Arabidopsis thaliana: one gene and its partner. The protein of the gene in region 1 interacts with the protein of each later gene in a pairwise test. Each region holds a gene or a part of one and is shown on either strand. Other genes may lie near its edges.

Evidence for each region.
Region 2: the proteins of UBP18 (region 1) and AT1G73660 interact in a two-hybrid assay, tested with the Arabidopsis thaliana proteins (one study listed by BioGRID).

What each region holds. Positions count from the first base shown.
Region 1 is NC_003075.7:15,335,001-15,341,586, forward strand, and holds UBP18 (ubiquitin-specific protease 18), read right to left. Parts: upstream 4,614-6,586; 5' UTR 4,507-4,613; coding exon 4,265-4,506; intron 3,807-4,264; coding exon 3,611-3,806; intron 3,525-3,610; coding exon 3,436-3,524; intron 3,335-3,435; coding exon 3,249-3,334; intron 3,148-3,248; coding exon 2,985-3,147; intron 2,890-2,984; coding exon 2,766-2,889; intron 2,466-2,765; coding exon 2,308-2,465; intron 2,216-2,307; coding exon 2,131-2,215; intron 2,045-2,130; coding exon 1,832-2,044; intron 1,734-1,831; coding exon 1,672-1,733; intron 1,485-1,671; coding exon 1,007-1,484; 3' UTR 743-1,006; downstream 1-742. Other genes in the region: AT4G31660 (AP2/B3-like transcriptional factor family protein), read left to right, coding at 1-106; AT4G31680 (Transcriptional factor B3 family protein), read right to left, coding at 5,289-5,642, 5,712-5,954, 6,025-6,327, 6,429-6,544.
Region 2 is NC_003070.9:27,691,346-27,699,508, reverse strand, and holds AT1G73660 (protein tyrosine kinase family protein), read left to right. Parts: upstream 1-2,136; 5' UTR 2,137-2,790; coding exon 2,791-3,351; intron 3,352-3,444; coding exon 3,445-3,885; intron 3,886-3,967; coding exon 3,968-4,071; intron 4,072-4,209; coding exon 4,210-5,372; intron 5,373-5,455; coding exon 5,456-5,496; intron 5,497-5,608; coding exon 5,609-5,677; intron 5,678-5,770; coding exon 5,771-5,871; intron 5,872-6,135; coding exon 6,136-6,214; intron 6,215-6,306; coding exon 6,307-6,405; intron 6,406-6,514; coding exon 6,515-6,583; intron 6,584-6,682; coding exon 6,683-6,732; intron 6,733-6,825; coding exon 6,826-7,002; intron 7,003-7,123; coding exon 7,124-7,262; 3' UTR 7,263-7,616; downstream 7,617-8,163. Other genes in the region: AT1G73655 (FKBP-like peptidyl-prolyl cis-trans isomerase family protein), read left to right, coding at 7,728-8,026. UniProt on the Arabidopsis thaliana protein: Acts as a negative regulator of salt tolerance. Mediates sugar response during early seedling development.

The DNA of each region.
Region 1 (6,586 bases):
TCTGAAGTTTAGGAATTCAAGTAGAACGTTTTACATGAGGGGTGGCTGGACAAGTTTCTCCATGAGCATGGGCTTAAACCTGGAGATTCCGTCACGTTTAAACTAGAGAGGAATAACACCAAAACGCCTCTTCTTCGTTTCTCCACTGCAGAATTAAAGAGTGTTTCCACTAAAGATTTCAACAAAATAAAGAGAAAGGAATCTGGTGACAGTAGCCAAAAAGTTCCATCATCGTCATCTTCAGTAAGTGAATACCGATTTTTGACACTAACCGTCACACCAGCCGCTCTCAAAGATGGTAGACTTGTAAGTTAAAACAACTCTCTAGGAGGAGTTTTGTTCCCTTGGTTTTGGTTATCATCAATGCTTTATGAAAGTTCACTTAGTTAGTGTAAGCTTATATTCTCCTTTGTTTGCAGCGTGTTCCAATCAAATTCATTAAGGGTAACCGAATGGAAAACCTAGGAATGAAGAAGATAACTCTGTTGGACAAGCATGGAGTAGAGTGGCCAGTGAATTTAGTCATGTACAAGGGAAATACACAGACGCGATTCGGTTCAGGGTTGAAAGAGTTTTTCAAGGCTAATGGCATCGAGGCATGCAAATCTTTTGTGTTGGAGTTGGTTTGAGAAGACAAAACAACTCTTCCTATGCTCAAGTTCTGCTCCAAGGCCAAGAATTGACTCTAATTTGCATCCAACTTGTTCACAAGTATAATCTTTTATATTGAATTCATCACCTATGTGGTATGAATCTAATGTAGTTATGAACTTTTTAGGTAAGAGTCAATGCGTCTATTTAAGTCAACAAAATATTTACCTACTTATGGGTCTAAATGAGTCTGTCACATGAATGGCAAACAATATGGCAATTCACGAACATTTAAATTCTACGTATAATCACCCTTTATTACCATAGAAGTCATTGTGTAATAGTATCTACATCACTATTGTAACTTTGTAAGCTAAAAAGCTCTGCTGATTTTCAAATGTTGTAACATACCACATCACTGAGCGTCGATCATCTTGGTGTCCATATCTCTCACCGGAGGTTTGGATTTTGTACAGACCAATGGAGTTGAAGTTGTAGGGTCTGACCAAGAATCGGCAGCCTGATATTTTACCTCTGGATCTTTGTTCCCATTTGCTACATCCTCTTGATGATCTGTTGCAGAGTCATCAATCGAAGAGTTGGACTCGGAATCCAATGTATCAATCCTTTCAACCTCACTACAACATTCAGAGGCCAATACTGATGGTGATGGTGATGGCGATGGTGATGGTGATGGTGATGGCGATGGTGATGGTGATTGCTCGCATACAGGGTCTTCAATGGTCGCATGGGTGCTGCTTCTGCTTTCAATAGCTCCTACCATTGAACTCTCAACTAACTCTTTTACGCAAGATTCTGTGTCCAATGTGTCTGTTTTCTTCTCGTCTTTAACTTCTGATCTAAGACATGAAGATGACGACCGAGCTTGAATCCTGCATGACAACAGAGAAACATAAGAAACTCACAAGCTCAACAACATTAGTCTGTTTATATTTTTCATCATATACAATCAATTTACGCAACTCTTAATGATGAAGTAAACACCCTCAATCTTGTGGTTATAGATTAGATTTACACGGAGAGCTGAACAACAAAAGACAGGAGGAAATAACAGCTTACCTGCTGTAGAGGAGCATATAAGCTCTTTGAGAAAGGACATCTTCTAATTCAACACTTTCTATCTGAGAGTATTTTCGATTACGGTTAGAGATTGCTCAACATTTATGGAATCATCACAATTTCATGCTAACAAGAAGAGCGGAAAGTAAATGAGTGTTACCTCGGAATCATCTATTCTATACCAGTTTCCGCAAAAATCCTTAATGTAGCATATGTAATGGCCGAAGAATGATGCATTCAGCATATCTAAATGGACAATCACTGCATAGAGTTTATATACATCTGATCCATCTCCGCCTTCACTCATGTAAGGATTAAGATCCAATGTCTCGGGAAAACTTATTCTTTTGTTCAATTTTCCGTATCTTCCTCCCTGTACATAATAATTTCACAGATGTATTTTAAAGACAACTTCTTCCAAGAAGAATCTAGCAAAAGGTAGGGGAATGCCACAAATACCTGATATCTTTTTAAGGCAATAGTAAGAATATTTGGAGCGCGTCGAATCGTAAGACGCTTACATGCTTTTACATAGTCACTACACCTGGACAGAAAGAATAGTATCGGGTTTAAGAAACTTAGTCAATTTGTCAACTAATCAACTAACACATTGCTTAAGAAACATAGCTTTTATACCTATCACATTTGTACATATTATCTCCATGAAGCCACTCTTCGGCTGTAAATTGATCAAGACATTCCTCCAAAGACCCCGCATCCCCATGCATCTCAACGATTAGATCCATCATATTTTCATATTGGTCAGAAACATGATTGCAAACAGTACATTGAACCTGGAAATTTGAAAATGCAGCAAATCAGGGAAAAAGCTCCACACACAGAGGAACATTAGAAGTTAATGTAAGTTTATCACAGGAAGGATCTTGATCGTTTTTATCAACTGAAATCAAGTTACATATATTCTCAATGGAGGCAGCCAGCTAAAGACAAAATAAGTAGCATGTTGAATTCTAACATGTATATGTATAACATGGAATTTCGTAAGATCCCAATAATTCTAGAGAGTGGAATTTCATCTATTGCTCGCTTGCCTTAATAGATGGACATCTGATATTTAGATCAGGAAATATCACCTGTGATTGAAGGAGACCTCCAAATATATACTGAATAAGTGTTGTTTCTTGTGAACGAGGAGGCACTATTTTTTCTCCACCGAATTCATCAAGGCAAACAGACTGCATCATATCAATCGCATACCTGCAGTATGTGAGTTGTATAAATCCATCAGTTGGGAGATTCACAGACTAAACACCACTAGGAATTAGCTATTTTCATGAGCAAGAGATACTGACCTCATGAACTCATGAGCATCCTCCTGTCTTCCATATCCAAGAGTTCCACCAATATTAGTTAACCGTGAAATAATGTTCATTGGTGAAAAAGGGAACCGACTTTGACTCGCTCTCTCAACATGGGTTTGAAATTCACAGAGGAAGCACCAATCGTTGCGCATACCTGTCAAACAAAACGTAGAATCAAAGCTAAAGCGAATACAGAAAACCACAAACGAAAGAGTTTGAAGCATTAGTGCAAAAATGAAAAGAAAGAAGTTTTACATTCTCTCTTGTGGCCTTTCTCCAGCAGATATGCAACAAGAGGACGTGTCCAGGAAAGGCATTGTAGAATCACATTGGCGAAACAACTGAAAGAGGAGTAAAGAAGATCATATTCAAGGGAGAAAAAAAAAATCCATTCCTTCAACTGATACTGTTAAGATATACTAGAAAGTAGATGAACACAAACCTATTTCCACAATTCATGAGCCCACAGGGAGCCAATTCTGGATTGTCCCAGTTAAAATATTCAACAAATTCTTCATATGGAAAAAGAACCTGCAGAAGATGCAAAACAAAAGTACAAGTTAACACAAAGACTCTATCAAGAGAGTGTCAACATGAGGAAAAAGAAGACACATTACTTCTCTTGGCTTGAGACTACTCTTGTTTTGGCCCCGTTCGGAAATCAGTGCAATACTAGACGCAGAACTATCCCCGAATGGAGAAGCTCTGAACCTTAAGCCATTCTTTGCAGATGGTGTTAATGTAGTAATCCCATAATCCCTGCAGTTTCTTTGATGACCCGAACTCCAATCTGACCTTTGGCACTCTGCTGAGCTGATAGCAAACAGACCATTCAGACAAAGATACTCAATTTCGAAAATATGCACTAAAACCAATTTTATTTTTTTGGGTAACAATGTGAAAAATTTATACCATTTTCGAATTTGTGAGAGAAGTTACAAAGAAAACAAGTAGCTGAACAAAGAAATCTACAGAAAATAAAGAAACAACATCACAGCTCAAACATCAATTGAACACTAGCGAAAACTCGGAGCAAAGCCGCGGGAAGAAACACCAAGATAATCCAAACTATCTGAGCTCATACAAATTAAGTTCACAAAAGTATCTAAGCAACAACTTCCAAACCCATGATTCTTCTATTGAAAAGCTCAAGACTTTGAAAATTGAAAAGAATTACACATCGCAAGCTCAAAGCAAGCAAACTAAATCAATCTTTCAATTACGCTAAGCTCGAGATGATCCCAACAAAGAGACTGAATTTGAGGGCATACCAGTATCGAACGGATTTGCAGCGGGAGCATTTCTTGGTGGAAAAATTCCCACAGACAGAGCAATCCTCAGCATCAACCGCCATGAAGTCCCTGTCGAAACCTCCGGCGGCGGCGGCTCCGATGTCGAAGTACTTAGCGGCGGTGTTTTTGAGAAAGTAAAAAACACCAACGGCGAGGAAAAATAGAGTCGCTATAAGGCGAGTGAAGACAGAGAGATCCAACGGAAAACCAACCTCATGCATCTAATTCGCTTCTCAAAATCATCGATCTCTTCTCCCTTCTCGTGTCTTCTGTATCTTTTATATATTTCAAGTATTCACCTTTTTTTTTTCTTTGTCTGTTCAAGAATTACCGCTTCGTTGATTTTTGTTACTTAGTAGAGAAGACAGTGTTCTATGTTGTTGGGTTTGGGCCTTTCCAATGCAATTACAAAGATTGGGCCTTTATATGCTTTTTTGTTTTCCTTTTTCAACTACGTTTTTTGTCGTTACCTTGTAATAATTCCTTTTTTTGGCTATGATTACTTTTCTTTTCCTTAATAAAACTATATTGGTTACGACAAAAAAAAAAAAAAAACTACTGTATATTGGTTTTGTATTGTTTTTGGCTATGGCTTGTTGCAGCAGATAAAGTCATTTTTTGTTTACCATTTCAATGCAGTGATGCAGATAAGGAAAAAAAAAAAACCATTTTAAGTTGTTATCACTTATCAGATACTAATTAATAAATATTATGGAAATACGACATTAGTCCGCCAACAGAGAACAAGAACATTATAAACTTTACGATTAATTAACAAAATGAAAAAAGGGAAAATAAAACAACTACATCTTAAACAAAGTCATATAATAAAAACAGAGGTTACAAGAGTCTTCAGTTTCACATTTAAACTTGATTATTACTTGAAGATGTTATCTTCTCCTCTCTCTGTGCCAAATTCAAATTGTTAGAAATTTGAACAAAACCAAAACCGAAACTAAAAGATTGTTATAAGAATGATAATATTACAGATTACAGATCATACCTAACTTAACTTGTTGATTTCCTGCAATGAATCTTCTAATTTCTGTTCCATTGTTTCAAGCTCTGCTTGGAACCGTCTGATACTAGTTAAAGTATCTACAACGCTCTCTTTCACCTTAGCCACGTGATCTGTGACAGAGCAAGCTTGCGTTTTCTGTAAGTTTCCTTGTTTACCACTGGATTTGTTAGATGCTCGAGACGGTTCTCCTTTTTCAGCTGTCTTCTCCCTTTTCTCAAGCTCCGGTCCCATTTTAGTTGCTCGAGAAGGTTCTCCCTTATCTGTTTCCTGGCTCCCATTATGGACTCGAGCTCTCTTGTGTCTCCTATCCTCTGCTTCGAATGAGGGTTGCTCTATCTGAAAACAAGTCGTTGTTTGATTTAGCAAAACCTAAAACGTGGACTGCAAGCTATTTGAAATACTGACCTTGGAGAAGAACTTGAATAAAGGACTTAAGCCTCCTCGAATCAACTCCAAAGTTAGTGACTCCCCTGCGCCTACTTCATTTGCGGCACAGAAACTTTTCCAGTCATTACCACCAAATATATGCATCCCTCCTCTATTATCAACCTGAAGCTTCATCGACCATTCAACTCTGTCTTTGTCCACCAGAATTATCTCCCCCGGATGTATGAGTCCATTCCCTTTCGTGAAACTTACCGGTAGATGCTGCAAAAGTATTCAGAATTAAAAAGACACTGCACTGAAGAAACCAGAGATAGAGGTTTCGAAAAGTCACCTGTTTGCCAATCTCAAGGCTGTTTAGTGTAGGAGTTAACTTCACAAACCGACTTTCTCCGATGCGGCTACAGAGCTGAAACACGGGCGTTTTCGCATTTTGCAGCAGTTTGAATGTGCAAGAATCTCCACCTTTTAATTTATTTTCGCTGCAGAGACTTTTCCAACCTCCAACAATAAAAACCTGACCAGACATTCTACTCCTTACTTCTGATTCCCATGACTTTCCTTCTTCATTCATCAATACTATCTCATGCATTCCTTTGTCTAAACCGTTTCGTTTTGCGAAATCCCTGGGCAGAGTCTGCATCAGTCATCAAATTGCATTGGGACTTATATACACTCACACAGATTTGAACTATAAATAAACATAACAACACCAAAGAAACCGTTAATCTGACTAACCACAAGATCATTTGATATGTTTGAGTGCGTTACGGATTGGCTAAAACAATTCAGATCTGCTGAAGACTGATCATATTCTTTTTGCAAATTCTCCTCAACTTCTCTCTCGGATATTTCTGAATCAGAAATTGAAACGTTTCAAGAATAGAAAAGAGTCT
Region 2 (8,163 bases), on another chromosome or scaffold:
CCATATATTTTTTCACGTATCATTTTATGTATAAGTGGGTTCTTAAAGAAAAAAAATTATAAGTGGATTCTTAAAAAAGGATAACCACCTCGACGCATTCAACAAAATAATGCCATACTTAATTCCTAAACTAGCGTGCATAGATATAGAAACTTAAACTAATTAAAACACATTAGCAAGATTTTTTTCAATGATTTAACGAAGGAGGAGTATGAGATAGAGGAGAAAAGTGATAGGTGGGGAAGTGGTCCCAGCACCAAAAAAAATGTGTGGCTGTCACCAATTGGAATGCACCAAATTCTTTTTACGACATAAAAACAAAAACTGAAAGATTGTTTTTTTTGTTTTGCTTTCTGATAGGATAACTATGACGTGGCATGCGTCACTAGACGCATTATCATTCGCGCGTCCATTTCACGTGGTACAGTCAAATTAGTCAAACCTCCCGGGAGAAACGAATGTTCTTTTACGGTTTTAACTTTTAACTTTTAATCTTGCTGCTTTGGCCTATTAAACTCTTCTTTTCTGAGCAAAATCACACACGCTATGTTTTATGGTTACGTAAACGCTTTTTTTTATTGGCTTAAACCAAACATAACGTGTAGTAAATAGAAACTCTCCATTCACTTCTTCTTTTTTTGTTTGTTTAAATGTTACTAAGATTTATACCAAATCAAAAATATTTTCTTATGTTTTCGGACAAAACTCAAGCCCCATTTACTTTTTTTTTTTTTTTTGTATGTTTTAATGTTACTATAAGATTTATTCCAAATCAAAAATCTTTTCTTATGTTTTCGGACAAATCTCAAGCCGCCCAAAATTGAATTGTTAGCCAACTACCCTTGAGCACTTAAAACCTCCAATCGTTTTCCTTTTTTCTTGTTTTATTTTATGGAATACAGATCCTTTATACTATAAAATAGATTTTTGAGAAGTGTCATAGTTGGAAAAGTAGATAACATATTTAAGTCGAATGGGGGGGGGGATGAATATGAAAACCACGGTAATAGTATATTTTTGTTTTTTACCGTATTTATCATTCCAGTATATAAAAATTAAAATGTAAAGTTTAATTTTTAAAAAAAATTACGTATAAATTATTTCAACAAATAATCATCTTCTATGGTGGAAAACAATTTCCAAGACACATAAAGAGTTACCTTAATTAATGATACATTAAAAAAAAATTACCTGATGGTTTCTGAACCTCACAATCGTGTGGACACTATAGAGTTGATCACTGGAAAAATCATAAATATTCGTGTTGGTCAACTATTGGCTCATAGCTCACACCATTTAATAAGTTCAAAGAAGATACAATGATTACCTATTACATAAATCATACATGCATACGTGTGGTTGTCCATATTTTGACATTAATCATATACTATAATAAACTCATATATTTTGTGCATATATGACATACATAGCTATCTCTATTGTAAGTTGTAAGTCGTAACCACTATATAAACTAATTAATTACATATGTATATAGTGATAGATATGTTGAATGATCGAAGAGATAACGGTGTCTCTTCACGAAAATAGAGTTTCATCAAAAGCAAGATAACGGAGTACTAATTATCTAACTCGTTAATTAATTGAGCTCTATCTTAGTAAGATTCACCGGACACTGCAATATACAATTAACCACGTGCTTTTCAAGTGAATATTCAGTTAAATTCTCATTTGTCTTTTCTTTAGAATTGACACCTTAAGCTATTTCTAGTCATTCTCAAAATATAAAAAGTTAATGGTCCTTAATTGCCGTGACAATTGCTATTCTTCTTTTATTCCCAAAAGAGATACAAGTATAAAAGATCGAAACGCTATACTATTTATTAAAAAAAATAAAAATACAGTTTTAATTATATGACCAAAAAGACTTTTGATATATTTGATCGAAAAATGAAAATTGATTTAGAACTTGATTGGTTCTCCTACTACCATATGCAAATGTTGAGTTTGCGGTTGCTAGCGTTTAAAATGAATCAAAGAAATTGCTTTAAACCACTTTGGATAGTTTTTTTATTGTTCTAATGCAAAATTTTAAAGAAAACATTCCCGTAAGTATTTTTATTTATATATTAGTGAATTAAGGACAAAAAATGTATCTCACAGTTTTCTCAGAATTTTCTTTTTTGACATAGTAATGAATAAATTGATGTAGATTCTATGCTGTTTATAGAAACAAAAAGTAACCGTTTTAAATGCCTCAATTGACGTTAAGTCTGTCTTGGTGCAATTTAATTATGTTTCGTCATCATCTTTTCAAGTTCACGCACTAAGCTTAGTGAAAAAGATACGCCTTTTTTCTTGTTCTGTTTTGTTTTGCATGTCACAGTAAGTAACTCTCCTCCTCAATTATCAAAAATGCAAACTTTAATTTTCTTCTAGAGAAGAGCCACTCTCTCCACTTCTTTCTTTGTCCAACTTTTTAGACAGAGAAAGTGGCGTCAGAGATAGATAGAGAGATACATATTCAAGTTGGTTGAAGGAGGAGAATTAGCGGTTCATATCAGTACGGAGAAAATTGTCAGTCATATGCTTTTTTTCTTTAAATTCTGCATTTGAGTGGGTGTGTGCTTTTAACCATTTTGGTGATTTATCAAAAAAAAAAAAAAAATTCTGTGTGTTTTGAGCTCAAGCTCTCTACAAATTTTGCTGTCTCAAGTTTTTGCCTTTTGAAGTCCAATAAAGTTGAAATCTTTGTTCTTTTTGATTGGTCTTCGTGAATTCCGGTGAAAGTTTCAAACTTTTGATTTAAATTCCGGGGAGGAATTAGGGTTTATGAAAGTAAAAGAAGAAACTTTGAAGAATTTGGGAGATGGAGTGGTTTTAAGACCTGTTGATCATTGTTCTAGCATTTGGAGTATGAAGATGAACATGAAGAACTTTCTTAAGAAACTTCATATCTCGCCCAATCAATCAGATGAAGCTGAAGGATCAATTTCAACAACTAAGAGCAATCATCATAAGTCTATCGATGTATCATCATCATCATCACCGAGGTCTCATCACAGCAATAGCCCTGAAATCAAACCTTTTTCTGGTTTATCTAATTGGTTAAGTTCTGTTGGTCATAGAAAAATCCCTAGTCCTCCTAATTCTTTCAATGCCAAGAACAGAGCCGCCACGGTTGATGACACTGTTGTTGTTAATGGGTCAGAACATGTGGATTTAGGTTCCAAAGATCCAGCTGTTGAAGAAGAGAATCAGATACAGTTGGCTTTAGAGTTAAGTGCTAGAGAAGATCCTGAGGCTACTCAGATTGAGGCTATTAAGCAATTCAGTTTAGGCTCTTGTGCTCCTGAGAACTCTCCAGCTGAACTCATCGCTTATCGCTACTGGGTAAGCTTTTGATTCAATTGTTTTCTCTGCATAACAGAAACTCTTTAGTTACTCCCAAGAACTCATTTCATTTTGGTATTGTTGCATTCACAGAATTACAATTGTCTTGGCTATGATGACAAGATCTTGGATGGTTTTTATGACTTGTATGGAGTGTTGAATGCATCCTCAGCAGAAAGAATACCTCCTTTGCTCGATCTTCAAGGGACACCTGTTTCAGACGGTGTGACATGGGAAGCTGTTCTTGTGAACAGAAGTGGGGATTCTAATCTGTTGAGACTTGAACAGATGGCTCTTGATATTGCTGCTAAATCAAGATCAGTTTCTTCCTCTGGTTTTGTGAATAGTGAATTGGTAAGGAAACTGGCTATTTTAGTGGGAGATTACATGGGTGGACCAGTCGTGCACCCAGAGAGCATGTTGAGAGCTTGGAGGAGTCTTAGCTATAGTTTGAAAGCAACTCTTGGAAGCATGGTTTTGCCACTTGGTTCTCTGACTATTGGTTTGGCTCGTCACCGAGCCTTGTTATTCAAAGTATGCACTTTTTCTTCTGAATCTCAGCACTTTTAAGTTTATTTCATTTCTTATGGTTCTTTCTTTATATGAAACTTTGTAGGTATTGTGTGATAGTGTTGGTGTTCCTTGTCGAATAGTCAAAGGTCAGCAATATACCGGTTCTGAAGATGTGGCAATGAACTTTATTAAGGCTGATGATGGCAGGTAATCATCACATTAATGTGTAGATTCAATATTTGTCTATCATTCATGTATATTGTTATCTAATCTGCACCTCCTGAAGCTAATATTGAGGCTTAAAGAAAGAAACTTTGTTATATGCTATTCAATTGTGAATTTCAGGGAGTACATTGTTGATCTTATGGGAGATCCCGGCACGCTTATTCCAGCTGATGCAGCTGGACTACAAATAGACTATGATGAATCTGCCTATTCCGCTAGTCCTGGAGACAATGATTCAATTCATGTAGCTTCTTCCAGCAATGGTATTGAAAGCTCATATGAAGAGAATACAGAGTTTCGAACAGGGGAACATCGTTCTAGTACCAAGAGTTCTGGGGAGAGAAACCAATCCGGAGGTGGAGGCGATCTCATTGTTCATCCAAATATTTCTAGAGAAGATGTGAAAAATCAGAAGAAAGTTGAAAAGGCTCCATTTCAAAATCTGTCTAGCAGGCCTATTCATTCTTTCACCCATATGAGATCACCTTCTTGGACTGAAGGGGTTAGCTCCCCAGCTGCACAAAGGATGAAAGTCAAAGATGTTTCACAATATATGATTGATGCTGCTAAAGAGAATCCACGGTTAGCTCAGAAGCTTCATGATGTATTACTTGAAAGCGGAGTTGTAGCTCCTCCCAATTTATTTTCCGAAGTCTATCCCCAGCAATTGGAGGCAACTGTTGAAAGCAAAAACTCGACTGAAGCCAAGAAAGAGAGAGGAAAAGATTTAGAGACAACTCAGGAAGGAAGACACCAAAACGGTTTTGGTCCAGTGAGGTTTTTGCCTCCATTACCAAGAGTGCAATCTAAAACAAATGCACATGATCAACGTGATAATGGCAAAGTTGTAAGTCAGTCTGATTCTTCACATTCTGAAGCATCTTCGACAGAATATGCCAGAACCGTCCCTGCTGCTGTAGCTGCAGCTGCTGTTGTTGCATCTTCCATGGTTGCTGCTGCTGCTGCCAAGTCTGCAAACTCAGACTCCTCCCCCATAGAACTTCCTGCTGCAGCTGCTGCCACGGCCACTGCTGCTGCAGTTGTGGCAACAGCTGCAGCCGTGTCCAGGCAACTTGAATTAGGCTCGAATAGCGACGGGGATGATGGTTCTGGTGGGCATGAGCCTCAAGGTAGTGGGGACTCTAATCATGGGCCAAATTCAGGAGGGGAAAGAATATCTGACAAATCTATTGGCAATGAAAGTTCTAAGTCAGACTGTGATGATGTATCTGACTGTGAGATTTTGTGGGAAGAAATTACTGTGGGAGAACGTATTGGACTTGGTACCTGACTTATCATCATCTGTTATCTGCTTTGGTGTAACTACATCTTCAAATAATTAACTACTTTACTTCTTTTGATACAGGATCTTATGGAGAAGTGTATCGGGGAGATTGGCACGGGACTGTGAGTATTATATTTGCTTTTCCAATTTATACTGTGAATTTGAACTCGATGAAAAAAGAGTTTAGAAATTCCTTAGTTTGAGTTCCATATCGTCGAAACTCTTGAACTTTAGGAAGTGGCTGTCAAGAAGTTCCTTGATCAAGATTTAACAGGAGAAGCATTGGAGGAATTCAGAAGTGAGGTACGAGCCTTTCTTCTAATCTTTTCTTTTACCTGATTTTCCATGTTGATTAGTTCTATATCAAACCCTTCTTATATATTCTTGTGATACAAGGTCCGAATCATGAAAAAGCTAAGACATCCCAACATTGTTCTCTTCATGGGAGCTGTGACTCGCCCACCGAATCTTTCAATTGTTACAGAGTTTCTTCCTAGGTAATACTATGATCTTTGCAAGATTCAGTTACTTTGATATGATTCTCATGGCTACAACGATTTCCATCTCCTTATTCATGATGCGCATGCCTCTGTTTTTATCTATTTTGTGACCTCTAAATGCCAAAATCTTCTTTGCATCAATGAGTGTTGTTCAAGTATTTGCTTTAAGTTCTAAAATCTGGATGGTTTGAACAGGTTCAATCCGGTTGTGCTTCGTTTTTGGATCTTTACATTATAATATTTTTTTCCAAACTTGTGCAGAGGTAGCTTGTATAGGTTAATCCACCGGCCAAATAACCAATTAGACGAGAGGAGGCGCCTGAGAATGGCCCTTGATGCTGTATTAGTCTTTTCTTCTCTTACTATATCACCTGTTTGTAACTTCTTGATTCTTTCAGTAGAGTGTTGAGGTAACATATTACTTGTATTCAGGCTCGTGGAATGAACTATTTGCACAGCTGTAATCCGATGATTGTCCATCGCGATCTTAAGTCCCCAAACCTTCTAGTTGACAAAAACTGGGTCGTGAAGGTCAGATTCTCTCCATAAAATTTATTGTTTCTTACCAAGTGGATAATGTTATATCGTATGTAACAGCTATAAGTTTACATAACAAATACTGGATTTTCATATATATCAGGTGTGTGATTTTGGATTGTCTAGGATGAAACACAGTACATACCTCTCTTCAAAGTCAACAGCAGGGACGGTAAGAAGCAAGTTATAGTCTCCCCTGTCTTAATCATCTCTTTTTACAGTTATTGTAATTGCCAGTTCGTTAATCTAATTATGTGTTGGTCTTATAAAGGCTGAATGGATGGCTCCAGAAGTGCTAAGAAACGAACCTGCTGATGAGAAGTATGCTCTTAGATCTTTTGCTACTAGATATTCATTTTGTTCCCTTTTGTCAGAAGCAGGCCTAATGTCAGGAAAAAACAATACGTGAAACAGGTGCGATGTTTACAGCTACGGTGTGATCTTATGGGAACTCTTTACGTTACAACAACCGTGGGGAAAGATGAACCCGATGCAAGTAGTTGGGGCAGTTGGGTTTCAGCATCGACGTCTTGACATTCCCGACTTTGTAGATCCAGCAATTGCAGATCTCATCAGTAAATGCTGGCAGACGTGAGTATAGATTATTTTTCAATGTTTCAGCCACAATATGAAGTAGCAGTGCTTAAACAACATCATTTCACTTGACCATGTCTCAGTTAACACATGTAATGGCTTTGTGTGTGTTTATCAGGGATTCAAAGTTAAGGCCAAGTTTTGCAGAGATAATGGCGTCTCTAAAGCGGCTACAGAAACCTGTAACAGGTTCCAACATCCCAAGACCAGTCCCCAGTTCCTCTTCATTACCAACTGAACATGAACAAAAGGATTGATAACAGAAGAAGACGACCAAAGTGGCAAACACATTTTTGACGAATTCAATCTGTTTGAAGGAAAAAAAAGCTACAAATGTTCCTTCTCTGCTACTTTTTGCCTCAGCTTCAGTGTTTGACACAGCTTGTGAATTGTGAAAAAGAAAGATTCATGGAAGATGACGATTGAAGAAGGTGAAGGATTGTGCTCGTGTGTTTTGTTGTCTTTGCTTGCAAGCGATGTTCATGTTCATGCGTAATTTCCTCTATTTTGTTTTCCAATATTGAAACTGTACAAAGAGAGAAAGAAAAAACAATTGACAAACTCGTCGAAACGTTGACCGAAAACATATATTAAAAAAAATCATTGAGCTCTGTCTTTATTCATCACACGAACAAGATAAGGCTGATCTTTATTATTGGGATATATGAATCAAAATAATATAATATTTTAAAAAACTTTGCTTTTACGAAAAATCTTTGACAATGGCGACTCTCTTCACTGCGACGGTTCCTTCTCACCACCGTTTCGTCTCTCCATCCCAACATCCGAAACAGAGTCTTCTATCGCAGTCGCTAAGCGTCACATTCACGGAGAATCCACAACCAACGGCGGTGGTCACATTGCAGGAGCAGCAATTGACGGATTGGATTACTTCTCCGGTGACGCGACGGTTCGGAATCGGCGCCGGGTTTACCTGGGCTGGGTTTTTAGCTTTCGGTGTTGTCTCCGAGCAGATGAAGAAGTCACGACTCGATGTGTTTCAGGAAGAGGATAACACAAGGTTACTCTTACTCATCAAGACTTCGAATTATTCTCTTGTTAAGAACTAAAGATGGAAAATTTAAGTGAATGTTAGCAATTAGGGATTTGATAATACAATCAAAGACTTGAGCTCATAGTTTATTTGTTCTTGAATGC